4 linked regions of the Callithrix jacchus genome follow. The protein of the gene in region 2 binds, or shares a complex with, the protein of the main gene of each other region. Links are inferred from orthologs where the notes say so. Each region holds a gene or a part of one and is shown on either strand. Other genes may lie near its edges.

Region 1 (6,745 bases), on a different chromosome or scaffold from region 2:
GAGGTCAGGAGTTCAAGACCAGCCTGACCAACATGGTGAAACCCCGTCTTTAAAAAAAAAAATTCTTGCTTAAGCAAGGAGAGAGTGAGAAGGCCAGGTGCAGGGGTGGGTGCCTGTAATCCCAGAATTTTGGGAGGCTGAGGTGGAAGGATCACTGTGGCCAAGGGTTTGAGACCAGACTGGGCAACATAGCAAGACCCCAACTCTACAAAAAAAAAAACTTGTTAGATGTGGTGGTGCACTCATGTCAGCTACTCAAGAGGCTGAGGCAAGGGGATCACTTAAGCCCAGGAGTTCAAGGCTTCAGTGAGTTATGATTGTGCCACTGCACTCCACTCTGGGGGATAGAGCAAGACCCTGTATCTAAAGAAAAAAGAAGGCCGGGCGCGGTGGCTCACACCTGTAATCCCAGCACTTTGGGAGGCCGAGGAGGGCGGATCATGAGGTCAGGAGATTGAGACCATCCTGGCTAACACAGTGAAACCCCGTCTCTACTTTTTTTTTCCTCCACCACCCCGTCATCTCTACTAAAAATACAAAAATAAGCTGGGCCTGGTGGCATGCGCCTGTAGTCCCAGCTACTCGAGAGACTGAAGCAGAGAATCGCCTTGAACCCGGGAGACAGAGGCTGCAGTGACCTGAGGTTGGGCCACTGCACTCCAGCCTGATGACAAGGTGACTCTGTCTCAAAAAAAAAAAAGATAAGGCCCTTCTCCGGTCCCTCTCTTGGGAGCTCCCTTCCCTTTCCTCCTGTGCAGTGGTCCTCACCCTCACACAGTAGCCTTTGGAGGGTCTCACACTGGGTGTGACTTCCCCCATAGACAAATCTGTCAGTGTCCACCAAATAAAGCTCCTGTGTGCCACTGTCATCTGGCGGTCATAGGTTTTTCTTTGCTCAGCCCTGAAACTTCTGGAACTCACTAGACCACCTGTGTGCTCTGGACCTTGGCAGCCCCTGAAACCATGGTGCTGGGGTGAGGGAGGAGCATGTCCCAAGATACGTGATGTTTCCAGAAGGCTCCCATCATCCAGCCCATGACTCATACCACTGAGAATCAAAATGTGCCCCTCCTCTCTTCCTAGGAAAGTCTTGATTGCTTTTGTATCCATGATGACAAGTAAGCACCAGAAATACATTTTTTTTTTTTTTTGAAACACGGTTTCCCTCTGCTGCCCAGGCTAGAGGTGCAGTGGTGCGATCATGGCTCACTGCAGCCTTGACCTTCTGGACTCAAGCAATCCTCACGCCTCAACCTCCCAAGTAGCACCACAACATATAGCTAACTTTTTATTTTATTATTTTTTTGAGACAAAGTCTTGCTCTGTCGCCCAGGCTGGAGTGCAATGGCATGGTCTTGGTTCACTGCAACTTCTGGCACCCAGCAGGTTCAAGCGATTCTCCTGTCTCAGCCTCCCAAATAGCTGGGATTACAGGTGTGTGCCACCACACTTAGCTAATTTTTGTATTTTTAGTAGAGATGGGTTTTTGCCATGTCGGCCAGGCTGATCTTGAACTCCTGACCTCAGGTGATCCACCCGCCTCGGCCTCCCAAAGTGCTGGGGTTACAGGCGTGAGCCACTGTACCCGGCCACAGCTAACTTTTTATTATTATTATTATTTATTATTATTTTTTTTTGAGACGGAGTTTCACTCTTGTTACCCAGGCTGGAGTGCAATGGCGCGATCTCGGCTCACCGCAACCTCCGCCTCCTGGGTTCAGGCAATTCTCCTGCCTCAGCCTCCTGAGTAGCTGGGATTACAGGCACGCGCCACCATGCCCAGCTAATTTTTTGTATTTTTAGTAGAGACGGGGTTTCACCATGTTGACCAGGATGGTCTCGATCTCTTGACCTGGTGATTGACCCGCCTCCACCTCCCAAGGTGCTGGGATTACAGGCACGAGCCACCGTGCCCAGCCGGCCTTTTTACTATTTATTTTATAGAGATGGGTCTTGCTATGTTAGCCAGGTTGCTCTTGAACTCCTGGGCTCAACTGATGAACCCACCTTGGCCTCCCAAAGTGTTGGGATTACAGGCATGAACCGACACCACCGGCCGAGAAATCCTTTTATTTATGTATTTCATTATCGTTATTATTTTTTGAGTCAGAGTCTCGCTCCGTCGCCCAGGCTGGAGTGTAGTGGTGCAATCTTGGCTCACTGCCACCTCTGCCTCCTGGGTTCAAGTGATTCTCCTGCCTCAGCCCCCTGAGTAGCTGGGATTACAGGCACCCGCCATCACACCTGGCTAATTTTTGTATTTTTGTAGTGACAGGGTTTCACTATGTTGGCTAGGCTGGTCTCAAACTCCTGACCTCAGGTAATCTGCCTGCTTCAGCCTCCCAGAGTGCTGGGATTACAGGAGTGATCCACCATTCCCAGCCCCAAGAAATGCTTTTAAATCTATTTTATCAAGTAATCCCAACAGGTACCCCAAAGGCTTCTGAAAGCCAGCCAATCAGTGATGGATCTGTGCTTCTGAAAATCAGCCAATCAGTGACAGTCACATGCTTCTGAAGGCTGGCCAATCAGTGATGGATCTGTCCTTCTGAAAATCAGCCAATCAGTGATAATTCCATGCTTCTGAAAACCAGCCAATCAGCAGCAGACACAGAGCCTCCACAGATTAATATCAACCAATTCCTAAACATTCCTGCTACTGGAAGTCCACCTATTTCTGAACTTCAGGACCACATGAGATCAGCTCTCTGCCCCACTCAGGGAGTATATCTTTTTGTTGTTGCTCTTGTTATTGTTTTGAGATGGAGTTTTGCTCTTGTTGCACAGGCTGGAGTGCAATGGCAAGATCTTGGCTCACTGCAACCTCCACCTCCTGTATTCAAGTGATTCTCCTACCTCAGCCTCCCGAGTAACTGGGATTAACAGGCATGCGCCACCACATTGGCTAATTTTTGTATTTTTAGTAGAGACGGGGTTTCACCATCTTGGCCAGGATGATCTTGAACTCCTGACCTCAGGTGATCTACCCTCCTCGGCCTCTCAAAGTGCTGGGATTATAGGTGTAAACCACCACTTCCGGCCTTTTTTTTTGAGACAGAGTCTCGCTCTGTTGCCTAGGCTGGAGTACAGTGATCACACCACTCCAATGGTATGATCCAGGCTCACTACAACCTCCGCCTCCCAGGTTTAAGTGGTTCTCCTGCCTCAGCCTCCTGAGTAACCGGGATTACAGGCACACGCCACTGCCCCTGGCTAATTTTTGTATTTTTAGTAGAGGTGTGGTTTCACCAAGTTGGCCAGGCTGGTCTCGAACTCCTGACTTTAGGTGATCCATCTGTCTTGGCCTCCCAAAGTGCTGGGATTACAGGCATGAGCCACCACACCTGGCCTCATACATCTAGTTTTCATCCTCATGTCAGCCCTGGATGGTAGGTTCTGCTAGTAGCCCCATTTTACAGATGAAAAAATGGAGTCACAGAGAGATTTAATAACTGACCCGAAGTCACACAGTTTAGAAGCAGCAGAGACAAAATTTAATCTCAGTGCTCTTAACAAGCAGTGTTCCCTCTGTTCTGAGTGTGGCCTTAGAACCCTACTCCTAGCTGTTTCCCCAGAAGTGTGGGGGTCCCTGATGGTCAGAGGCAAGGATTACAGGATGGATCTATAGCCTACCTTGGTTCCCAGCTGTGGGGAAGGGAGGTGGCGACCCTCGGGGCTGGAAGCCCGGGAGACCTTTGGAGACCCAGGACCTACAAATACAGAGTGGGACTTGGTGAGGGTGGGAATTTCCAGAAACTCCCACCCGGCCAGGATGCTCACCTAAGCGAGGGCTGGAGAGGTCTTTGTCACCTCCAGGAGGCCGCCCCCAGTCAGTCTCAGGAGACCGAGGGGAGCTCAGTTCCAAGGACTCAGGCAGGCTCTTCAGGGATAAGAAAAAGGGAATAATGATGGTCGTCGTTATTATTATTATTATTATTATTTTGAGACAGAGTTTTGCTCTGTCGCCCAGGTTAGAGTGCAATGGCGCAATCCTGTCTCACCGCAATCTCTGCCTCCCGGATTCAAGTGATTCTCCTACCTCAGCCTCCCGAATAGCTGGGATTACAAGCATATTCCACCACGCCTGGCAATTTTTTTTTTGAGACGGAGTTTCGCTCTTGTCACCCAGGCTGGAGTGCAGTGGCATGATCTTGGCTCACTGCAACCTCCGCCTCCCAGGTTCAAGTGATTCTCCTGCCTCAGCTTCCCGAGTAGCTGGGATTACAGGCACCCGCCACCATATCCAGCTAATTTTTGTATTGTTAGTAGAGACGGGGTTTTACCATGTTGGCCAGGCTGGTCTCGAACTCCTGACTTTAGGTGATCCATCTGTCTTGGCCTCCCAAAGTGCTGGGATTACAGGCGTGAGCCACGGCACCGTCTGTTATCATTATTATTATTATTAACATGTTTCAAGCATTTAGCAATTAGAACACAGTCTGAAGAGGATTAAGACTGTAAACCAGATCTGAGCACAGAAGCTCAGACTTGTCATCTCAGTGCTTCGAAAGGCCAAGGTGGGAGGATCACTTGAGGCCGAGCTAGAGACCACCTGGGCAAGCTGGTGAGACCCCTTCCCTACAAAAACTTTTTAGGCTGGGCACAGCGGGTTCACATCTATAATCCCAGCACTTTGCGAGGCCAAGGTGGGAGGATCACTTGAAACCAGGAGGTCAAGACCAGCCTGGACAATATAGGGAGACCCTGTCTCTATAAAACAAAGAATTAGCCTGGCATGGTGGCAGACACCTGTGTCCTAGCTACTTGGGAAACTGAGGTGAGAGGATCACTTAAGCCCAGGAGGATCACTTAAGTTCCAGTGAGCCATGATCACATCACTGCACTCCAGCCTGGACGACAGAATGAGTGAGATCTGTCTTTATTTTATTTTTTTCTGGAGATTTGTCTTTTTAAAAAAATCCTGGTTGGGCGTGGTGACTCACACCTGTAATCCCAGCACTTTGGGAGGCCGAGGCAGGTGGATGACTTGAGGCCGGGAGTACGTGACCAGCCTAGCCAACATGGTGAAACCCCATTTCTACTAAAAATACAAAAATTAGGCCTGGTGAGGTGGCTTACGCCTGTAATACCAGCTACTCAGGAGGCTGAGGCAGGAGAATCACTTGAACCCAGGAGGCGGAGGTTGCAGTGAGCCGAGACCATGCCACAGCACTCCAGCCTGGGTGACAGAGCGAGACTCAAAAAAGAACCCCAAAAAACAAAGGCTTCCAGGTTAGGACAGTTGTGTCAGGTGGGTTCACTGATCAAGGAAGAATTAAAGAGGTGGGAGGGGAATAGACTAAGCCAAGGACAGATGGGACAGGAAGCTGGGGGTGGGGAGAGAATTGTGTGCATCTTACCTCCCTCTCTGAGGACTCCTCACCCTGGAGCACGGGAGATGGGGAGTCAGGCTCAGTGTGTGGGGGCGGTTTCTGGGGGCCACCCAGACCTGCCAGCGTGTCTTCCACCATCCACAGCTGCTGCTGAGCAGACACTCTGTCCTGTGGGGAGGAAAGGAATTTGTCACTTAAAGGCGGGAAAATGCAGGAGGGTTTCAGCTAACAGGCCCCTGCAAAGGCCTGAAGTCAGCTGGGCTATATTGATGGAGTTGGGATTTTTTTTTTTTTTCAAGTGGTTATCCAATTTAATTGAAAAAACTGGCCGGGCGCGATGGCTCAGCATCTTTGGGAGGCCGAGGCGGGTGGATCACGAGGTCAAGAGATCGAGACCATCCTGGTCAACATGGTGAAACCCCGTCTCTACTAAAAATACAAAAAAATTAGCTGGGCCTGGTGGCATGTGCCTGTAATCCCAGCTACTCAGGAGGCTGAAGTTGCAGTGAGCCGAGATTGCGCCATTGCACTCCAGCCTGGGTAACAAGAGCGAAACTCCAACTCAAAATAAATAAATAAATAAAAATAATTGAAAAAACTGCCTTTTGGTGGGATGCGGTGGCTCACACCTGTAATCCCAACACTTTAGGAGGCCCAGGTGGATCACCTGAGGTCAGAAGTTCAAGACCAGCCTGGCCAACATGGTGAAACCCCATGTCTATTAAAAATACAAAAAAATTACTTGGGTGTGGTGGTGCGTGCCTGTGATCCCAGCTACTCAGGAGGCTGAGGTGAGAGAATCACCTGAACCTGGGAGATGGAGGTTACAGTGAGGTGAGATGGCACCACTGTACTCCAGCCTGGGTGACAGAGCAAAATTCTGTCTCAAAAAACAAACAAAAACCTAAAGGGCATGGTCTTAACTAAAATTAGGGGCTTAGATTGAACGGACAGAAAGGAGACGGAGAGTGAACTGGGCGGGGCCTGGATTCTGTGGGCGGAGCCTGGATTCTGTGGGCGGAGATTAAATGCTGAAAGGATTTCCAGGCAGAAGCTGGAGTTGGGGGTGGGTCTTGGGGTCTCCAAGCAGGGATTTACCTGGGGAGAACCGAGGTGCAGCAGATACTCCAGGGTCTCTCTTAAGGTGCCCAGCTCCTGCTCCAGGCCACTGTACGTATCCCAAACCCTCTCTCGCTCCTCAGGTTGCATAAAGGGGGAGACACAGGTTAGTTCCCTCTCCCACTAAATCTTTGCCCACCCCATTGTTTGTCAGCTAAGGAGGAGGTAAGGGAGCTTGGTCCCTGGGGCCCTGTGGGCATATGGACTACAATTCCCATGAGCCTCTTTGCTTGGACTATAATTATCTGTAAAATGGAGGCAATAATAGTAACTATCAAATAGAAATTAAAAGA
Region 2 (7,360 bases):
AGTCAACAATAATTGAATTGTACATTTAAAAATAACTACAAGCATACTTGGATTGTTTGTAATGCAAACGATAAATTCTTAAGTGGATGGATACCCAGTTTTCTATGATGTGATTAGTACACATTACATGCCTGTATCAAAACCTCTCATGTACCCTCTAAATATATATACCTACTATGTACTCACAAATATTAAGAAGAGAAAAAAAGAAGAAAAAAGATGTCTGAACTCGTTCCGTTGGTGTGACTTTCTTGCTAACGGCTTCTCCATCTTTCATTTTGTGAATAAAAGGAGTGGGCATACTCTAAACAAAGCCTGTTTTATTAAGTTCCTTCTCATATTTGGAAAAATCCTTAATTTAGCAGTCAGGAATTAGGCAATATCATTAAAGTACTATTTTACATTCTGAAAACAAGGAATTATTTTTACTTTTTATTTTTATTTTGTTTATTTATTTATTCGAGATGGTGTCTTGCTCTGTAGCCCAGGCTGGAGTGCAGTGGCGGGATCTCAGCTCCCTGTGACCTCTGCCTGACAGATTCAAGCGATTCTTCAGCCTCCGCCTCCCAAGTGGCTGGAAGTGCAGGTGTGTGCCACCATGACTAGTTACTTTTTTTATTTTTAGTAGAGACAGGGTTTTGCCATGTTGGCCAGGCTGGTCTTGGCCTCCTGACCTTAGGTAATCCACCCTCCTCGGCCTCCCAAAGTGCTAGGATTACAGGCATGAGCCACTGGACCAAGACTATTTTTGCCATTTAAAAAATTGAACATATAAAAATAAAAAAATTAATTGAACATATAAGGCCGGTCGCAGTGGCTCACGCTTGTAATCTCAGCACTTTGGGAGGCCGAGGAGGGTAGATCACAAGGTCAGGAGTTCTAGAGCAGCCTGCCCAATATGCTGAAACTCCGTTTCTACTAAAAATACAAAAATAATTAGCCAGTCGTGGTGGCACACACATGTAGTCCCAGCTACTAGAGAGGCTGAGGCAGAGAATTGCTTGAACCCGGGAGGTGGAGGTTGCAGTGAGCTGAGATCGAGCCACTGCACTCCAGCCTGGCTGACACAGCGAGACTCCGTCTCAAAAAAAATTTTTGAACATATAAATATATTTTGAGACGTGGTCTTACTATGTCACCCAGGCTGGTCACGAACTTCGGGGCTCAAGCAATCTTCCCACTTCAGTCTCCAGAGCAGATAGGACAACAGGTGCCCACCACTGCACCAGGCTCTGAACATTATTTATAATTCACATGATGAAAAATTCAAAAGGCAAACAAAAATTATAAAGGGCAAAACTCTCCTTCCCACCCTGTCTCACAGCCAAACAGTTCCTCTCCCCAAAGAAACCAATGTTACCACTTTATTTTGTCTTTCCAAATACAGTTTACACACACAAGCAAATATGAATATATCTTCTACGTTTTATTTTTTGTGGGGGGGATGAGTTTCCCTCTTGTTGCCCAGGATGGAGTGCAATGGCATGATCTTGGCTCACCACAACCTTTGCCTCCTGGGTTCAAGCGATTCTCCTGCCTCAGTCTCCCAAGTAGCTGGGATTATAGGCGTGTGCCACCATGCCCTGCTACTTTTGTACTTTTAGTAGAGACGGGGTTTCTCCATGTCGGTCAGGCTGGTCTCAAACTCCTGACCTCAGGTGATCCGCCCGCCTCAGCCTCCCAAAGTGCCGTGATTACAGGCGTGATCTTCCACCTTTTTACCCAATAATAGAGAATACAGATTGTTCACAGCTTCATGGTATTGGATTTTATGGATGTACTATATTTCATTGAATTGGTCCCCTACTAATGGACATTTAACGTTGTTGTCAATCTAATCTACAAACAATGCTGCAGTTTGTACATATGTAGTACATATCTTTTACATATGTAGTCTTACATGTGCATGTGAATAATTTTATTAAAATTGACAAATATTTCCAAAATGCCCCCAATAAATTTTATAACAATCTTGCATTCTTCTCTACAATGTGGAAGTCAGGGACAGTTTTAGACAAGGAAAACACGACATGGAAGATGGAGATGCAATGTAAATTTAGAATGCTGCCCACTTGGCTATGGTTTTAGTATCCTTAAGAATGAAAGGGCTGGGCGCTGTGGCTCATCCCTGTAATCCGAGCACTTTGGGAGGCTGAGGAGGGTGGATCACGAGGTCAGCAGTTCAAGAGCAGCCTGGCCAACATTGCAAAACGCAGTCTCTACTAAAAATACAAAAATTAGCTGGGCGTGATAGTGCGTGCCTGTAGTCCCAGTTCCTGGCGGGGCGGGGCTGAGGCCGGAGAATCGCTTGATCCCGGGAGGCAGAGGTTGCAGTGAGCTGAGATCATGTCACAGCATTCCAGCCTGGGCAACAGAGTGAGACTCCATCTCAAAAAAAGAAAGAAAAAGGGGGCTCACAGAAGAAAATAGTATTACCAATTTGTTGTCTAGACATTCAGATAAGTTGAACCAATTAACCTCTTTGCCTTTTCAGACACTAACTGCACCAAAATCAGTTAGAAGCGAACTTTCTTAAATTAACCTTCAGCAACCATAGCCTGGTGAAATGTCAGCAGGGGAGTAACAGTGGTGATAAGGCTGTCTAAGATTTCCCTAAGAAGATTCTTTCCAATTTCCCTCTTAATGTCCACCTTGTAGTGGCCACAAGTTCCTTTCACTTAATTGTCTTGGAGTGAAAGAAGTAAAATCACCTTAGTGGTGATGATAAGCCCCATTATGACGCAAAGTATATACGAGGTCTGTGGATCGCAGGGCTCAGAGGATTCTTGCGCAGCGTTGTTCGGCCCCAAGAGGTCATTGTGGACAATGGAAGGGAAGAAATTTGAGGCCTCCGTGGGTTTTCTCGATAGCAAAAAGTTCCTCAGTACCTGGAAGGTAAAACGCACTTCCTGCATTCAGATGTTTAGCATATTAAGCCTTAGAATTCTCTCCGTCTGCTCTGCCTCCTGAGCGGTGGGGAGGGTCTCAGGCTCATTCAATCGCCAAGCTGTAGAGCTATATTCCCAGGCTTCCTGCGGACCCCACACCACCCAACCGTCCGTCCTTCCTTCCATCTTTCCTTTCTTCTATCTTTCTCTCTCTCGCTCCCTCCTTCCTTTCTTTCTTTCTCTTTCTCTCTTGAGAGTCTCACTCTGTCGCGCAGGTTGGAGTGCAGTGGTTCTGCTGCCTCAGCCTCCTGAGTGGTTGGGATTACATTCGCACACCAGAACGCCCGGCTAATGTTTTTGTATTTTTAGTAGCAACTGGGTTTAACCATGTTGGCCAGGCTGGTCTCGAACTCCTGACCTCCAGTGATCCACCTGCCTTGGCCTCTGGGATTACAGGACTGACCACTATGCCAGCCCTCCCCCCGCCCCCCCCGCCTCCCCCCCCGCCCCCGACAGGGTCTCATTCTGTGGCCCAGGCTGGAGTGCAGTGGCTGTCAGGTCTCCATATGCAAGCCTGGAACCAGAACGTCTGAAGTCCTGCCTGCTGCCTGCCTCTGCTAATTGTCTCCCACCCCACCGCCTGCGTTGGCCATTGTCCCTAATCGCCCAGCAGAGCTTCCCCGGACAAGCCCCTCACCCCACCCTGCCATCTTAACTGTTCTTATGTTAAATGTGGATACCTCTCACCCCATCCTGCCATCTTAACTGCTCTTATGATAATGTGAATGCTCCTTGCCCCATCCTGCCATCTTAACTGCTCTTCCGCCTTACTCAACCCGCCATTGTAACTGAACTTGTGGTCATGTATACTCCTTGCCACTACCCCCGACCACTGTAACTGATCTTACTCTGCAACACCCTCGCCCCCCAAAATTACCCCAACTTATAGAACCAATTCCCACCCTTACTCTCTTCGCCTTTCTCAGATTCGGTCCGCTTGCACCCAAGCGAGAAATAAAATGTCCTTGTTGCCCACACAAAGCCTGTTTGGAAAATCTCTATATTAAATGCATTTAATTTTCGGTATTATTAGACGTGAATAACAGTGGCGATCCTGGCCCACGGCAACCTCTGCTGCCTGGGTTCAAGGGATTCTCCTGCCTCAGCCTCCGGAGTAGCTGGGACTACAGGCGCAGGCCACCACGCCGGACTAAATTTTTTTTTAAATTTTTTGGTGGAGACGGGGTTTTGCTGTGTTGCCCAGGCGGGTCTGGAACTCCTGAGCTCAGGTAATCCGCTCGCCTCAGCCTCCCAAAAGTGCCGGGATTACAGGGGTGAGCCACCGCGCCCCGGCCACCTGACCTTTTTCTAATTCGGCTTCATAGCAGTTTACAGAAGTCCCGCCCCCGATAAGGCAGGTCACGTGACACCGCCTCATCACGTGACGCGGACTCTGCGGCGGGAGGAGGGCGGTCCTCACGCTGCATTGCGTCATCACGTCGCGCGGCCGCGGGGTCCAGACCCGAAGGCTCCAGAGCCTCCGGAGCCTCCGGGTCTGGGCGGCGGCGGCGGCGCTTCGGCTCCTTGTGAGCCGCCTGCTGGCCCTGCGCCCCACCCTATCCCCACAGGCTGGGGACAGGCCCGGCGCGGCTGTGTGGGCACGGGAGCTGAGGTGAGTTGCGCGGAAGTGATGGCAGTCAGTCTTTCCCTTCCTGTCCATCAACTCCGGGTTATGGCCCTTCCCCCATCCTTGGTCTCCCTGCAAGGGAATCGGAGGCTCGCCCTGGATAGGAGGAAGGCTGCGTGGGGCGTCTGGCCTCGGTCGCCCTCTCATCTCTCCGCATACCTCCACCTGGCGGTGCTGGTCATATGTATGCCTGCTGGTGTCAGGGGGAAGGACTTCGTTTCTTTCTCTAGAATTTAGTCTTTCCCGAATGTATTGCCCCTCCCCTGCCTCGAATCTCCCGAAGTGGAATCCCTCTATTCAGATGTTAACGGAAGTTCTAGAAAATAGGTCACTTCAGAAAGGTGAGAGTGAAGGATATGCTGAGACTTGGAGTGGTGAGGCAGGAATCCCCAAGAAGGAAGACCACTTTGCACCAGGGTTACTGTCATTTTGATGTGGAAACGACAAACCCCCCTCCCTCCCAGATTGTCATCAAGGTAAATAGACATTTGTTTCGGACCCTTTTTACACCCCTGGAGTTGAAATTAAATTGACTTAAGGCTTCTTGAAAAACATCATATGCTTTGATGAATCACCTGCTTTTCTGTAAAATTGGTCTTGCAGAGTTGTTGGAGGGATTATCTATGGTGCTTGTAGTGTAAAATGCCAACTATAAACATAAGTAAATGAGAATTTAAGATCTCATTTTTCCTATTGAAAAATTGTGAGTTGTGGACTTTTAGAGACCGTCGTTTGATTCCCAACCTTGGATCATTTCAGAAAGTTTTGGATTCCAATATTGATTCGTTAACAGTAATTGACATTTACAGATGTAGAGTAGGAATACCTTCTTGTTGAAGAGCTTCAATAGCTTAAGCAAGTAAGTCCACTTGGGTGGTTTCCACAGTTCATTGTAGGTAATGGGTCCTCAATTGGTTTTTTGTTGTTGTTGTTGCTGTTTTTAATTTTTTATTTATTTATTTTTTTTCTGATGCATTCTCGCTCTGTTGCCCAGGCTGGAGTGCAGTGGCATGATCTAGGCTCACTCGATGGAGCAATTCTCAACTGCCTCCTGGGTTCAAGCAATTCTCGTGCCTCAGCCTTCCCAGTAGCTAGGATTACAGGCATGTGCCACCACACCCGGCTAATTTTTGTGTTTTTAGTAGAGACAGGGTTTCATCATGTTGGTCAGGCTGATCTCGAACTCCTGACCTCAACTGATATGCCCACCTCAGCTTCCTAAAGTCCTGGGATTACAGGCGTGAGCTACTGGGCTGGGCCTGAAGTTTCACTTTAAGAAGAAATCCAGATATATTTGGAAGTCATCAGACGTAATTATTTGCATACTTTAGAAAAGTACATTTTTACCGAACTTTCTTGCTCTAAGTTGAATACACACTTTTTTTTTTTGCATTCAATTCTAAGCATTTATTGTGCAACTTCTAGGATAGAAAGCATACATATAAAGCAGGATCTTCACCCTCTAAATGCTTATCTACTTATGGATATTAAATAGTAATGATATAATACCTTTAAGGAATTTTATATTTTATTTTATTATTATTTTTTTTGGGACAGAGTCGCATACTGTTGCCCAGGCTGTAGTGCAGTGGTGCAATCTTGGCTCACTGCAGTCTCTGCCTCCTGGGTTCAAGCAATTCTCCTGCCTTACAGGTGTGTGCCACCATGCCCAGCTAATTTTTTGGTATTTTTAGTAGAGATGGGGTTTCACCACATTGGCCAGGTTGGTCTTGATCTGACCTCGTGATGCGTCCGCCTCTGCCTCCCAAAGTGCTGGGATTACAGGCGTGAGCCACTGCACCCGGCCTATATTTTCATTGTATCATTTGACACAAGAACCTTGTGAAGATTTACAGGACATAGATTGTTTACTTACATTTCAGCGTTCATCATAATAAATGTCAAGTGGTAGGGACACTCCATGATAGAGGAATTCGGAGGAAGAAGAGAGAACTTTTACATGGACTAGATAGTAGCTAGATAGTGGTGGTTATGTCAGGTATAGGAGTGCCTTCTACTTGTATATGTTTGAGTCTGAGGAAGCCCCTTAGATTCTCAATTTGTAAAGCTAATAAATATGTTGTTTCCCTAGTTTTTTGAATATGCTCATTGTTTTTTTCTCTTGTAATTGCAGAATCCAAGGACCCCTTTTGTTTCTCTGCACCACTTTCTGGGTGACATTATGGCCCCCAAAGACATAATGACAAATACTCATGCTAAATCCATCCTGAATTCAATGAACTCCCTCAGGAAGAGCAATACCCTCTGTGATGTGACATTGAGAGTGGAGCATAAAGACTTCCCTGCCCATCGGATTGTGCTGGCTGCCTGTAGTGATTACTTCTGTGCCATGTTCACTAGTGAGGTAAGTGGTAAGTTAGCCCCACACAAATGAAACTCTCCCATTGAACTCTACTTGTCTAATTTCACTGAATAAAATGTGATATAATTGTGAATTTTTACAGTGTGATGTTTAAGTAGGCAGATTCTGGATAAGATCTACCACCTGACTATGCCTTAGTTTCCTCATCTTTAAATTAGGGGTAATAGTAATATGTAATAACACATGATTATTAAGGTTATTGTGAAGATTACCTTATAAAATAACTTACGAAGTGCTTAGAATGGTGTAATATGTAGTAAAGCACAAATGTCAGCTATTGTATTTTACTATTTCTTAAATTTGTCTTCCAATTTTTCTCCTTTTTTTGTTTCTAATTTTATTTATTTGTAAAGACAGGGTCTCACTATATATTGCCCAGGCTGATCTTGAACTCCTGGGCTC
Region 3 (7,181 bases), on a different chromosome or scaffold from region 2:
AATGATGAGGGTATACTTAAAATATGCACTAAGGCTGGGTGTGGTGGTTCATATCTGTAATCCCAGCCAGCACTCTGGGAGACTGTGGTGGGCAGATCACCTGAGGTCAGGAGTTCAAGACTAGCCCCGCCAATATGGCAAAATGCCGTCACTACTTAAAATACAAAAATTAACCAGATATGGTGGCGCAAACCTGTAGTCCCAGCTACTCAGGAGGCTGAGGTGTAAGAATCGCTTGAAACCTGGAGGTGGAGGCTGCCGTGAGCTGAGATTATGCCACTGCACTCCAGCCTGGGTGACAGAGCAAGACTCTGTCTTGAAAAAGAAAAAAATGCACTCAAAACACTACAAAGAATCTGATTTTACTTTTGAAAATTTATCTGGAATAATATTATGCATCTGTAAAATATTCTATAAGTTCAATTACCACTCTATTTTGCAATGAAAACAATCTCAAAACATAATTCTACACTTTTTTACAAGTCAATTTTGTAAAACAGTCTGAAATGCACCTGAGACTCAGGAGAGTCTCGCTCTGTGGTCCAGGCTGGGGAATGAGAGAAACGGGGGTTGGGGGAGTTGGGGGGTAGATTTTGGTCAAAGGGTACAAGCTGTAAGATGAATAAATTGTGGAGATCATATGTGCAGCACTGTAAGAATAGTTAATAATACTATATTGTATATTTGAAAGTTGCTAGGACAGTAGACATTAATTGTTTTCATCACACAGACATTAAAAAAAAACAAGTATTTATGAGGTGATTATAAGTTAGCTTCATGGTAGTAATCATTTCACAATGTATACAATTATCAAAACCTCATGTTGTCCACCTTAAACATATACAATTTTTTTTTTTCCTGAGACAAGTCTTGCTCTGTCACCCAGGCTGGTGTCACCACCTCAGCTCACTGCAACCTCTGCCTCCCGGGTGCAAGTGATTCTCATGCCTTAGCCTCCCAAGTAGCTGGGATTACAGGTGCATGTTACCACCCCTGGCAAATGTTTGTATTTTTAGCAGAGGCAGGGGTTTGCATGTTGGGCAGACTGGTCTCCAACTCCTAACCTCAGGTGATCTGCCCACCTCACCCTCCCAAAGTGCTGGGATTACAGGTGTGAGCCACTATGCCTGGACTTTCGGTGAAACTATAATTTCTCTTAAATTACAGTAGCTATATATCCAAATAACAGATGTAAAATACAATAATTTTTAAATATGTACATATGTGTAACCATAAACAACGATGTACCTATGTATAACCATAAACAATATTTCTTTTTTTTTTTTTTTGAGACAGTTTCACTTTTGTTGCCCAAGCTGGAGTGCTATGGCTTGATCTGTGTTGCCCAGGCTAGAGTGCAATGGTGTGATCTCAGCTCACTGCAACCTCCGCCTCCCAGATTCAAGCGATTCTCCAACCTCAGCCTCCCGAGTAACTGGGACTACAGGTATCCACCACCAGGCCCCACTTTTTTTGTATTTTCAGTAGAGACGAGACTTCACCATGTTGGCCAGGCTGGTCTCAGACATCTGACCTCAGGTGATTCACCTGCCTGGCCATATTTTTTCTTTATGTAATACTATGCATTAACTACTTTTGACCATCAACTCATGCAGTCTGCAGTTATGTATAAAACTGCCAATCTGGAAGACTGGAATTTTGAAGGTCTACAAGCACATGGTTAACAAGATAAATCTATGAAATACCATACCACTGAGATATATAGCTATCTGTAACCAAGTCTCAAACTATAATTTTTTTTTTTTTTTGACAGAGTTTAACTCTTGTTGCCTAGAGTGCAATGGCACCACCTCTGCCTCCTGGGTTCAAGCAATTCTCCTGCCTCAGCCTCCCCAGTAGCTAGGACTATAGGCACCCACCACCATGCCCGGCTAATTTTTTGTATTTTAGTAGAGATGGGATTTCACCGTGTTGGTCAGGATGGTCTCGATCTCCTGACTTCATGATCTGCCTGCTTCGGCCTCCCCAAATGCTGGGATTACAGACGTGAGCCACAGACGCCCGGCCAAACTAGAATTGTTATTTTCAATGGGAACCACTTATGAATGTTATTAATACTTATTAAACAGTAATGAAAAATTTTAGAAATCAACAGCTATTAACTACTGAATATCAAAACTAGTCACTTACATATAACCTGAAAGAGAAGTTATAGACAGAATAGGCCCAAATTAGCTCATAACCATAAACGAAGCTAAAAAAAAAAAAAAAATTCAGTTCCAGTACTACGTGGTAAGCTATCACACAATTTTATTATACTGGTCAGCTAAAGGAATATGAAATTCTCTCCCATCTCTTCTCCTCAACAATACTAGCTCCAGAAGGCAGGGATCTTGGTCTTTTTAGCTATACTGACAAACCCTCACAAGACCGCCTGGCACATAATATTCAGTATTTGTTGAACAAATGAAATGATGGCAAAACAGGTAAGATCAGGGAAACCTGTAGACATCAAAGAGTTTGATTAAACACAGATGGAAGTACAACTGGTCAATCAGAAGGCCATTAACCTGAGTGAGTCGATGTCAAATGTGAGTTACTCCACGTTTTAGAAAAAAATCTTTAGAACTTTCGAATTCAAGAATGAGGAGTGTAGGACCGCAAACACTCCTAGAAAATCTGTTGTACAAAACTATTAACTTCATAAAATTCTAAATTCTAAACTCTACTTTAAAATGGTCAGAATTTAGCAGGAAAATTATTAATATTACTCACAAATTCATAAAGCCAGCTCTTTGCCCAATTATAAAGGAAAACATACTAGTGAACTTCGTTAGTACTCTGTCAACACTGCTGACTTCCTGATGTAATTTCTCACGTTTACTTAGAAAAAAGTTTGAAACATTCAAAAAGCCTTTATTATCAAAAACACTTAATTCTCCCAAATACATCGTACCTATTTACAGAAAGCAGAAGCTTCCTCACACTGACTTTAGTATTAATGTTCTTGCATTTCAGAATTCTACATCAGGTGTATCCTTTTCAATTTTAGGAATTCAGAGGTCCTCAGGTTCTCTGGGACTAAATTACTTGACTCAACTGGGGCAATCATATTTAGATAACAAGTCTTTTCCCCACTACAAGGGCACTTCAGGAAAAGCATGCTTTAAAAAGTGACAATAAATCCCTCTCTTATGCCTGCACATCATATGAAGTATTTGCGAATCTAAGACGGGAAGACCAAGATCTTTCTCTAATTTTACTTTTTAAAATCTTCTGTCCGATTGCTAGTTGGTCTGTCTTGATGTATGCCTTTTATTGTAGCAACATGGGCAAGTATGTCCAGTTTGTTAACAAGAGTACATTTTAATTGCTTGCCATCAGGTATCTGAATCAGATATGACACCCAAAGTTATACCCTATGTCCTAAACACTGAAAGGGTACGACTCAACCTAATGCCAAAAAAGTAAGTTTCTGAGCAGAACGCGTTTGCTGTCACTGAAACCGATGAAAGAAAGCAACTCCACAAGGCGACTAAGCTCATTCTTTGGGCTCCCAAGGCTGAGAAATGGAGAACCAATTGCCCGGTTTGCTCCCTGTGGCTTTCCCCCGGCCTTCCTCGGAGTGGCGAGGCAATCCTGCACAAGAGTTTGTAAAGTGCTTAGGAGGCTTGCGGGATGAAATACACCCCATGTTACTAGTTTATGATCACAGAGCATTCCGTGCAACCACTGTCACTGCGTCGGAGGCAAGTTGAGGGCAGAGCCCTTCCTGGGGAGGGGGACAGAGAGGGCAGCCCTTTCATCACCCTAAAAGCTAGACTGGGTTATTTTGGAAAGTGCAGCGAAACCCCACGTGAAAAGTTGCACACATGCCCCACACAGGGAGGACTCCGCCGCAGCCAGCAAAGCCGGAGACTGGCCCTACACCCCGGCAACGTGGGGAGGCGTGGGGCGGCCGAGGGGCTCCGGCCGCAGCCAACGCCCACGAGGCGGCTGGAGAAGCAGCTCGCAGACGGGGGCGCGGGGCCAGGCCCGGGCTCCCGGCGCGGGGAACGGCCCGGGAGGGCGGCCGCGCCGGGGCCCCGCGCCGCCCGGTTGCTGGGAAGGCTCGCGCCTCGCGGCCGGCGGGCGTGGGGGAGGGGAGGCCGGGCCTGCGGCCTGTTGGGGGAGTTCAGCCCGGGCCTCGCGTGCGGCTCTCGGCTCGGCCCCCGGCCCCGGGGTCCCGGACGCCGGGGAGAGACTCACCGGAAAGGCCCGGATCCGCATCTTGGTGTCCTTCCGGCTGCCCGTGCCTTTGCTCAGATTCGACATGGTGCTCGTCCCCTACCCGGCGGCGGCTTCAGGTCGCGCTCCGCGGCGCCGGTGTCACATTTAAGGCGGGCGGGCAGGCGAGGGGCGACGCTGGGGGCGGTGGCGGAGCGGACCCGGGCAGGGCTAGGGAGCTGGCCGGCCCCTGAGCAGCCGCGGCGGCGGCGGGGACGGCGGCGGCTCGGGCTCCGGCGGCTCCGACGCGGCTGGGGGGCTGCGCTGGCGCGGCTGCTCCACGGGGTCCCCCTCAGGCCCGGCTTCGCTCCCTTTATCGCGCTCCTCCGCGATGGCGGCGGCGGCGGCGACGGACAAACATCTCACTGCGCAGGCCGAACGTCGTCCTCCTCCTCCTCCTTCTCCTCCTCCGCCTGAGCGAGACGAGATCCGGCCCAGAGGGTGGAGGGGGGAGGAGGGAGGGAGGAGAGCCGGAGAGTGAGAGATGCGGGGGGAGGGAGGTGGGAGGACGGGAGGGGGAAGCGGGCGGCCGCGGCGGGGACGCTCAGATCTCGCGAGAAGAGGGCGAGCGCGCTACTCCTTGTGGGGCGGGGCGAAACCCGGGAGCGGGAGGACGCCACCAGAGGGGAGGAGGGGAATGGGGAGTTGGGGGGAGTGGTAGGGGCCGGCGGGGCGGGGTAGCGAAAAGAGGGCGTGGCTAAGAGCGGGAGGTTTAAGCTGCCTTTTGAAAGAGGAGCGCCAGGTCCCCGGTTCTGGGCGGAGGTGGTTGCTGATTGGTGGAACTTCAAGTGGGGTTGGGGGGGAGGGGGGTTCCTGGTCACGTGGGGGGAGTGGGCGGGGGAAGTTTGGAGAGCAGGAGCAGGATTGTAGTGGGCTGGGCCTTACTGGGCTGGGGCAAGATTTAGTCTTGAGGAGGAGCGTGGGGTGCTAGATGGATAACTACGTCCCGAACTGGTTCCTATGTTTTTCTAGGGCATATGGACTAGGGATGGGTACTTGAGCAGAAGCCAGCAACTAGAACGAAGAGTTTGTGCAGGAGTTACCTGCATGATCGGAAATTACTGTCCTGTATGCTCAACAAGGTATTCGGACTGGGTGTCCACACAACAGCTCTCAGGACTGGAGGGTGGAAATTTAATCTACAAAGTTCCCTTAAACTGCAAAAGCTTCGGGACCTCTTGATTCACTGATATTTTCTGGTGGACCCCGGGCTTATTAATGTTAAAACCTGTTTTTCATTACTATCAGAAAAAAATAACAGCTCCATTAATGAAATGCAGCATTTGGTAAATGATGTTAAATGGAATGATAGAAACCTAACTTTAACCAACCAGATGAGTCATTTCTACTATTACCAAGAGTACTGTAGGTTTTTAAAGCCAAAATTACTGTCTGATACAGTTGCTGTATATTTGAAAAGTTTTGGGTTTTGGGGGAGAGGGGTTTGATCATTTTATATTCAAAATGTCTAATCTGACTCATGGTTTTGCTGTCCATTTATTATGAACTGTACTTCCTCATTTACCTACTTGCCCAAGTGCTGTTATGTTTGGGTTTCTGACTCTGCAAGGGAGTATGTGAGTGCCTACTAAAGTTTGTCATCTTCCTGTTTTAAAGAAACAGCTGTTTTAGGGATAGATATGTACATTTAGAAGCTGAAATTGTAATACTTTTAAATAGCAAACTTAATATAAAGTGAAATACACATTTGTTGACTGTAAGGTTGAATTTGCCCTAAATTAACTCTAATTAGTAAGCTTATGAGTTATTGCGCTTAAATCCCCTACTCGGTTGAAACGCCCCATTGCAAATACCATATTTTCTTTTTTTTTTTTTTTTTGTGGGAGTTTTTTGGTATTGTCTAATTAAAGCAAGAGCTTAAGAAACAAGGATATTGCTTAAGATAATATCTGTAAATACTGAAGCTAAAAATAGGTTATCAAGAATTGAGTTAATAAACAAAGATTGGGAGGGGCTCTGACTTCAGTATAAGATAATGTCTGTATTGGAGTTTATAATCTGTATGCTAATTGAACCTTCATTTCCATAATATTAGAATATAATAACAATGTTTTCCTGTTGGTTGTACTCTTATGGCCCAGTTTCTTTTACTGTAAGAATATATGTTCAGAACAGCGATCTCTGAGGAACCATAAAAAGAAATTTAACAGTGGTGTGATCTCTGCTCACGGTAATCTCAGCCTTCTTGGCAAAAAAAAAAGAAATTTAAAAATATATATTAAAAAATATATATATGTTCTTGGAGCCATTGTTTGAATCCCAATTCTGCCACTTTACTAGCTGTGTTATGTGTCTTTTGGGACATGGAGTTGACAATGCCTAGAGTTCCTCATCTGTAAAATGGAGACAATAACAGTACTTCCTCCTTGGGCTACTATGAAATTTGAATAAGTGAATACATTTTAGAAGCCCTGAGAGTTGGGCATTGCTCTCAGTGCCCTGAGAGCAGCCACTTGCCACCTGTTGGCTGTTACTAACATGGGCGTTAAAGCCAAGGTTATACTACTTCCTTTATTCAATAGGTAGGTTTCTTTTAAAAAAACACTTGTATGCTTTTATAAAATAAATCGTATTTTGAAACTAAGCCAGTCACTGACATTTGGATCTCAGTCCACTAAAATATTTTCTGATAAGCTAGGGAGTCAATATAGGTTTGACTTTATATTGGCAAGGGCATTAAAAGGGAACAATTAGCATAGACTATCCCCATCATTTATTAAAATGTATTTTAACCTCAGAAATGGGGAAGATCCATTTTTGAATAAATGACAGTTTCTTGAATTTACCAGCCTCAGGATGAACAATGCATCACACTGATTTTTCTCATTTCACTCTGAACTTAAGGAGACGTCACAGGCCAGCATTTAGGAACTCACTACATTAAGGTATATTTCTACTTAATTGTAAAGCATATAGTAAATATGGTAACTCTA
Region 4 (7,293 bases), on a different chromosome or scaffold from region 2:
AGGAAGCCCAAACTAAGGGGTTAAACAATCACAAAACAAAAGGAATGGTTCAAGCATTCATCAACAGAGCCACTGGAAATAGGAGAGAAGCATGCAACCAATAAACAATGAGCAAGGTCTGTCCCCAGCCTTCAGTTACCACCTCTGTGCTCACACTTCCAAATCTTTCTGTCCAGCTTCATCACTCCCGAGCTACAGACCCACATATCCAGCAGCCTCCTGGACCTTCCCTCCAAACCTACGCCTCCGTGTTCTCATCACAGTGAATGGAGCTCCATTCCGCCTCATGATCCAAACCTAAAGCCTTAGTGCCCTCCCGGGAGCCTCCTCTTTCCTCCCCTCTGTCACCTCACTTAGGCACCAGGTTTTCTCAACTCTACCTTCCGAGTGTTTCTCCTATCTTCTCTACCAGGTCACAGTTCTTGTTAACCTAGATTACCTCAATAGCTTCGAAACTGGTATACATGCCTCCTGTCTCTCCTGCTTCAGTCCATTCTCACAGCACCCCAAGGTCAACGCTCCAAAGCACAAATGGGACACAACACTTCTCTGGCTCCCTCACTACTCTCAGAATGAAGTCACACTCTCCAAAAAGGTATACAAGGCCCTTTGGGACCTGGCCCTTGCTTACCTTTCTAGTCTATTTCTTACCCCTTTCCCGCACATCACTACAACTACACTGAGCTTCTTCACGTCCCTACAGAATACTATGCGGTCTTACTTGCTTCCTGGGCTTTGTGCAGCTATTTCCTCTGCTGGAATCATTCCTTTCTTCACTGAGCTAATTTCTACCAGTGATTCAGTTTTTGGCTTAAATATCACCTCTTTAAAAAGTCTTGATGCACCCTAGACTGAGTTAGGTATCTCACTCTCCCATGCTGTCCTAGTACCTAACACTTACTCCCATTTCATACTTATCACATTGCCTCTTCAATCTACATAACTGCATTACTCCTCCACTTGGGAGTATTTTACATGCCCAACACCATACCAAGCACTTTAAAATACAAAAAATTAGCTGGGCGTGGTGGTGTCCCAGTTACTTGGGAGGCTGAGGCAGGAGCATCTCATGAACTTGGAAGGCAGAGGCTGCAGTGAGCCAAGATCGTGCCATTGCACTCCATCATGGGTGACAGAGGGAGATTCTGTCTCAAAAAAACAAACAAACAAAAAAAGTCTCAAAAAAAAATTAAAAGATAGAAATAAGAAAGAGAAGGAAAAACTGAGTCTCAGACTTTTGCAGCAAACTTCTGCAAGGGAGTGGCCAAAGCAGGGATTTGAAGCCAAATCTCCGTGGCCTCGGAGACTAAGCTCTTAAGCACTGAAATCCCCCAACAGGCTCCCCTATAGGACCCAAGGGTGCTTGAATTTTACCACTCCAACACTCAGTCCTGGCCTGGGTACCCTGGACTGGAATCAGTGGAAAATTACAGGAATTGGGACTCCTAACACCAGGCTGGAATCCTCCAAAGCTATGTAGTGGGTGGAGGGGAGGCAGCACTGACTGAAATGCTTTAAACAACCCGTTTCCTTTCTTAGAACACCTGAGACCAGGAGGCGGCCAAGGGTATGGTAGGAAAAAAAGCACCATTTCTTTTTCTATTCCAGATTCTTCTCTCTGTGCTCCTTTTCAGTATTTCACTCCAAGAATAGCCCAGGCAGCATGGCATGATGAGAGCAGTCACGGCAGCAGGAGCTGCCACCAGACACTGGCATGTACCAGGCACTAGCAACGTGAGAGGCTCCCTGCATTTCAACCTCATTTTAGCCCTTTTCATGGATATTATTTCTTCTTATAAAGGTGAGAAAGGCGAGGCTCAGAGCCCTTAGTTTGTCTAAGGGTATATAACTATTAAGTAATACAGCTAGAATTCTAGCACAGTTCTGTCTAACTTGTCATTGCTTTTAGAATGCAAACAAATTGTCCCTAATGCTTGTTAACATGTAGATTCCTGGGTACAGAACAGGTCTGAAGTGGGACCCAAAAGTGTGCTTTCTTAAACAAGGTCTCAGGTGATTCTGAGGCAGAAGACCAACAGCTGGGAAACAAGGCACTATGAATGTTTTCTCAGCCTGTGTTCCTCAGAAATACCAGAGTCACAAAAAGTGACCAGACATCTGAAAAGAAAGAGGGGACAGGGAGTTTCTGTGGTTAAACACGTTTAAGAAACACTGCATATTATATTCCTTTCTGGAAGATTTACAATGTACATTAGCAAATTAAAATTTCTGAGCTGGACACAGTGGCTCAAGCCTGTAATCCCAGCACTTTGGGAGGCCAAGGCAGGTGGATCACGAGGTCAAGAGACCAAGACCATCCTGGTCAACAAGGTGAAACCCCGTCTCTACTAAAAATACAAAAAATTAGCTGGGCATGGTGGCGCGTGCCTGTAATCCCAGCTACTCGGGAAGCTGAGGCAGAATTGCCTGAACCCAGGAGGCGGAGGTTGCGGTGAGCCGAGATCGTGGCATGCACTCCAGTCTGGGTAACAAGAGCGAAACTCTGTCTCAAAAAAAAAAAATTAGCCAGGCGTCATGGCGCACGCCTGTAGTCCTAGCTACTCTGGAGGCTGAGGTAGGAGAATCCCTTGAACCCAGGAGGTGGAAGTTGTGGTGGGCCGAGATGGTGCCACGGCACTCCAGCCTGAGCAACAAGGCAAAACTCCATCTCAAAAAAAGGGAATTTTGAAAATGACTTATGGTCAACATTATTCAGCTATACTTAACAAGAGTATTTCCAAAACTTTAGTTAACTACAGACTCCTCCTTTATTAACAATATCTATTAACAACTTACAAGACTCAGCAAGTGGAACGGAGTTTAGAACACAAAGGCTACGTTACACTTTCTCCTAACTCCAGCCTGCACTGGCCTCTCTTTCCTACCTCTCTCTAAGAATGCAATCAGAGAAGTCCTAAGCTCTGGTCATGGCCTCACCCTCACTTACTACATATGACCTTTGAAAAGCCACTTAATCTCTTTGGGTTTGTTCCTTAGCAATAAATTAGGGGTAATAATACCTGCATGCCAATAGGGCCTTCATGATTAGGATAATGGAGGTCCAAATACTGCATAACCTGTACAAGACTGTAATCCCTGGAAGGGCTGTTACATCTTTTAGCATGTGACTATACTCATTTGAGCATTATGTAATATACCAATAGATCTTGTTTTCCCACTTTTCCTGTATGGGTTTCATCTTCTAAATAACTGTGTGATGGCAGGCCTCTGTGGGCTTCATTTCCTCCTCTGTAAAATGAGGGGACTATTTTGAGGGCCCTCCAGGCACTGGCCTTTTAGAAGCCTAGGAAAATCAAAACGCTGAAGGGCAACACGTTACACCTTACTATATACCAAATGCTTCATAAGCCTCACCTCCTTACTCTCCACAACAGCTTTCTAAGGCAGCCCCTATTATTCGGCCCTATTTTACAGGAGGACACTTGGACTCGGAACGACAAAATATTCAAGGGCTCACAACTATTTAGGTGGTAGAGCCAAGATGTGAACCTACCTCTGACTCCAAACTGCACTTAAACACCCTACTAACACCCAACAAAGAATTCTGGCCACAGAGTCACCTTGCTGTGGTATTCCTGGCTGAATCAAGATGGGCTGGGGAAGAGGCATCTGAAGACAGCCCGGGTTCTGACCTCGGCCCTGCTGGCTAACTGCCTGGTGACTTCAGGTAAGTTCTGTATCTTCTCGGGGTTCACTTTCCTAAAAGCGAAATGGAGGTGTTGAACTAAGTCAGTGGTCAAACCAGCTCACTTGTGGCGCCTGCTACAACCAGAGTTTCCTGATGACTGTGATGCAGTGCTGGGGTGGGTCCGGAAGCCTGGAATTTTATCCGACACCCCAAATGAGATCGATGGAACCAGAACTCTAAACGTCCGGTCATGGCTGATGCCCCCGCCCAAGGCCCCCGTGGGAGCCTTAGGAGGCTGGGGTCCAAGGTCCCCAAATTTTCGCGTGAGCGACGTCAAAGGGGGCGCGACACGACCTGCTAAATGTGCGGTCCTTCATGACGTGAGCAGGGCGCGACCGACGGTCCCTTTTCAGTTCTCTACAGCGCGAAGCCTCGCTGAAGCGAACCCATTGTGAGAAGTGCGCAGAGAAAGCGGGCAGAAAGAAGCGGGGGTCGCCGGACCTGCGCGGGGCACGGCCCCTACCTGGATTCACGGTCCCCTCACACACTCACCTGCCGGTAGGGATAGCTGGCCATGGCGATTCTGACGTCACACGCAGGCAAGGGGTGGGGCTTTCCGCTCTCAAACCCGCCCCTCGCCTCGGCTTTGGGGCTGGGCCCGCATCTTACTGGACGTCCCAGCCTGTCAATCTTGAGTGCTGTCGGCCGACGGAAGTGACGATGGGGGTGGTGGGAGGGTGCCTACCCGAGAGATCAGGAGAGTTAAGTGCCTGATGGAGCTTCCGGAAGTTTTGGTGGCTGCACCGGCACTAGTGTTCCTCCTTTTCCTGATCTGGAGTGGGCCTAAGCGGTGGTTAGGTTCGGATATTTAGTGAAAAGCCTGGGTGGGGTGTTGCTGTGGTAGCCATGTTATAACCTGGCAAATGGGACGCATGATAGTGACGTACAAGGGCGTCTCTCCCGAGTTTCCGCAAAGGAGAGCAGCCAGTGGGGGGAGGAGAGGAGAGGCGGTGGCCAGGCGGTTGCCCTGACAACGGGGAAACGACCGAGTCCTTCCGGAAGGGAGAGGCAATGGCGGAATTACTCCTCTAATGTCAAGACACTGGGTACCAGTTAGTAGCCTTATAGTGGGATACAGATCTGTGCTCTTTGGAGGAAAAAAATCCCAGACCGTTAGAGTTGGAGGAGAATTAAATTATGTAGTGTCTCTTTCTTCATAAATGGGGAAACTGAGGTCCACAGAGGCAGTGTCTTGCCTTAGCTCACAGTGGATGGCCTAGAACTGGGGTCCATGGATGTCCGGTTCTCAACAGGGAAGTCTAGGTCGGTCCCCATTGTAGGTCAAATCCTGGTGACTGAGTGATCTCAGTACCATGTAATTGCCACTCAGTGGTTCCGTTTCTACACCTGTGTGCTTATTTTATTAATTTTTCAAGTTCTTCCATGTGGGCAAGGGTTTTTGCTTGTCATTATTACCCCAGAACCTAGTACAGTAACTGACACGATTTTTAAAATAAAATGAATAAATGAATGTTATGAAGTGTTATCCAGTGTGGGCCCATCTATCTAACCAAGTGCACTTTCCAAAATCATGGGCAAGTGGCATCTGATCATGGATGCTCTTCATCCACGCCTACAAAATAAGGCCAAATCTTTTCATCCTGGCACTCCAGGCCCTTCAGAATGTGGCCCAGCCTTACCTTTCCAATGTTCTGCTACTCTGTATTCCTGTGCTCAGTGTCACCATTCAGCACTTCTGCTTTGGAGGGAGAATGTTTGTTTCATCACTTTCTAACTGTATCACCTTAGGGAAGATTTCTTTTTTTTTTTTATTTCCAGCTTTTAAGATCCGGATATATGTGCAGGATGTGGTTTGTGACATAGGTAAATGTGTGCCAGGGTGGTTTGTTACACAGATCATCCCATCACCTAGGTATTAAGCCCAGCATCCATTAGCCATTCTTCCTGATGTTCTCCCTCCTCCCACCTCCCCACACCCTCTGACAGGCCCCAGTGCGTGTCTATGTGTTCTCCTTATTCAGCTCCCACTTGTAAGTGAGAACATGCAGTGTTTGGTTTTCTGTTTCTGTATTAGTTTGCTGAGGATAATGGCTTCCAATTCCATCCATGTCCCTGCGTAGGACATGATCTTGTTCCTTTTTATGGCTACTTAGTATTCCATGGCATATATGTACCATATTTTACTTAGGCAAGTTATTTAACCTCTCTTAGTTTCAGTTTTCTTAGCTGACAGAAACAAATATGTAAATTTGAAAATTAGCTTATGGTGCCTGCTCATACCCCCAAACTTAGGTTCAAACCACTCCATTCACCTGGACCAGCAGCCCTCCCATCTCCAGTCCTGCAAGGCTCAGTTCCAATTCCATTCTCCACCTAACCTTCCCACATTCTCCTTAGCTCCAGAGTTAGCCACTCTCTCTTGCCACTCTCCCTTTGCACTTGGTACTGTCACTGTGCCATATTCCAGCCTACCTTGTATAGAAGTTTTCTTTTGATGTTTTCCTTAAAATCCATTGCTCTCCATCTCAGAAAATCCACCCAGTCTTTCAGGACAAAAACCTAAGATCATTCCTGTATGTCCTTTTTTTCTCCACACACTCCCCCACCTCTCTTATCTCCATATGCTGTGATTTAAAAATGTACACATCTGCACTCTTCTCCCTGTTCGCACTGTCACTGTAGTCCAAGACACTATCATCCATGCCTGGATCACTACACTAGCTGATTGACCAATGTTCCTGCTGTTATATGTAAATTCTCTTTTTTCTTTTCTTTCTTTTTTTTTTTTTTTTGAGAAAGAGTCTCACTCTGTTGCCCAGGTTGGAGTGCAGTGGTGCAATCTCTGCTCACTGTAATCTCCACCTGCCAGACTCAAGCAATTCTCCTGCCTCAGCCTCCCAACTATCTGGGATTACAGGCACACACCACCCTGGCCAACTAATTTTTTTGTATTCCTAGCAGAGAGGGGGTTTCACCATATTGGCCAGGCTGGTCTCGAACTCCTGACCTCAGGCGATCCACCCACCTCAGCCTCCCAAAGTGCTGGGATTACAGGCTTGAGCCACTGCTCCCAGCCTGTTATATGTAAATTTTCAGTGCCACAAAAGAAGTAGCACTCAAATATAAATTTTCTCAACAAGGCAATTTACTTCTATAGAAGGGTGTATCTTACAGATGGAGCAATGGCAAGCGCACACCTAAATACCTGAGTCAGGAGTTCTTATCCCTGACTCAGGTAGTCCCTATTGCTGTGTCATTGCCCTAGTGGCTAGGGTTGAACTGCAAAGTTTAAGCTAATTCCGATTGGCTATTTTAAAGAGAGCAGGGGTATGAACCAGAGTGGTGGGGTGAGCAGTTTGGTGGGAAAAACAATTATAGAACAGGTAACTAAAGGTAACTCAGGTCATAGCAGGTGACTAGGGGTGACTCAGGTCAAAGCAGGTGACCAGGATGAGTCAGGACAGAAAAGGTGACCAGGGGAACAGATGTGAACTACTGATCAGAACTGATGGAAAAGGCTGTTTACTGAAAGTACGAGGAAGTTAAACTTTGAAATGGGGGATAAAATACTGAACATACTGACATAATGATTATTTGAAGAGAAACTTAGAACTCATTGTATT

Evidence for each region.
Region 1: the proteins of KLHL12 (region 2) and PLEKHA4 are in contact, whole or in part, in a crystal structure (PDB 8OIO), measured with the Homo sapiens proteins. The link is inferred for Callithrix jacchus from reciprocal best matches to the Homo sapiens genes KLHL12 and PLEKHA4. Residues at the interface, in NP_067646.1 of Homo sapiens: Phe289, Arg320, Glu417, Tyr434, Ile439, Phe481, His486, Cys511, Tyr512, Tyr528, Leu533, Cys558; in NP_065955.2 of Homo sapiens: Pro177, Gly178, Gly179, Pro180.
Region 3: KLHL12 (region 2) and CUL3 share a complex: the UniProt entries of both Homo sapiens proteins name them as parts of the BCR(KLHL12) E3 ubiquitin ligase complex. The link is inferred for Callithrix jacchus from reciprocal best matches to the Homo sapiens genes KLHL12 and CUL3.
Region 4: the proteins of KLHL12 (region 2) and PEF1 are in contact, whole or in part, in a crystal structure (PDB 8RBH), measured with the Homo sapiens proteins. The link is inferred for Callithrix jacchus from reciprocal best matches to the Homo sapiens genes KLHL12 and PEF1. Residues at the interface, in NP_067646.1 of Homo sapiens: Phe289, Gln293, Arg320, Tyr321, Leu371, Glu417, Tyr434, Ile439, Phe481, His486, Cys511, Tyr512, Tyr528, Leu533, Cys558; in NP_036524.1 of Homo sapiens: Gly15, Gln16, Ala17, Pro18, Gly19, Ala20, Pro21, Pro22.

The regions. Positions count from the first base shown.
Region 1 is NC_133523.1:42,689,189-42,695,933, forward strand, and holds part of PLEKHA4 (pleckstrin homology domain-containing family A member 4), read right to left. Parts: intron 6,531-6,745; coding exon 6,432-6,530; intron 5,502-6,431; coding exon 5,361-5,501; intron 3,881-5,360; coding exon 3,781-3,880; intron 3,711-3,780; coding exon 3,634-3,710; intron 1-3,633. UniProt on the Homo sapiens protein: Binds specifically to phosphatidylinositol 3-phosphate (PtdIns3P), but not to other phosphoinositides.
Region 2 is NC_133520.1:29,966,924-29,974,283, reverse strand, and holds the start of KLHL12 (kelch-like protein 12), read left to right. Parts: upstream 1-2,721; coding exon 2,722-2,895; intron 2,896-4,371; exon of another isoform or gene 4,372-4,931; coding exon of another isoform or gene 4,932-5,051; intron 5,052-6,709; coding exon 6,710-6,940; intron 6,941-7,360. Other genes in the region: transcription and mRNA export factor ENY2-like, read right to left, coding at 2,712-2,735. UniProt on the Homo sapiens protein: Substrate-specific adapter of a BCR (BTB-CUL3-RBX1) E3 ubiquitin ligase complex that acts as a negative regulator of Wnt signaling pathway and ER-Golgi transport.
Region 3 is NC_133507.1:146,310,087-146,317,267, forward strand, and holds the start of CUL3 (cullin-3), read right to left. Parts: upstream 4,592-7,181; 5' UTR 4,276-4,591; coding exon 4,210-4,275; intron 1-4,209. UniProt on the Homo sapiens protein: Core component of multiple cullin-RING-based BCR (BTB-CUL3-RBX1) E3 ubiquitin-protein ligase complexes which mediate the ubiquitination and subsequent proteasomal degradation of target proteins.
Region 4 is NC_133508.1:68,255,067-68,262,359, forward strand, and holds the start of PEF1 (peflin), read right to left. Parts: upstream 4,238-7,293; 5' UTR 4,226-4,237; coding exon of another isoform or gene 4,202-4,225; 5' UTR 4,027-4,201; coding exon 4,004-4,026; intron 3,721-4,003; coding exon 3,654-3,720; exon of another isoform or gene 3,582-3,653; intron 1-3,581. UniProt on the Homo sapiens protein: Calcium-binding protein that acts as an adapter that bridges unrelated proteins or stabilizes weak protein-protein complexes in response to calcium.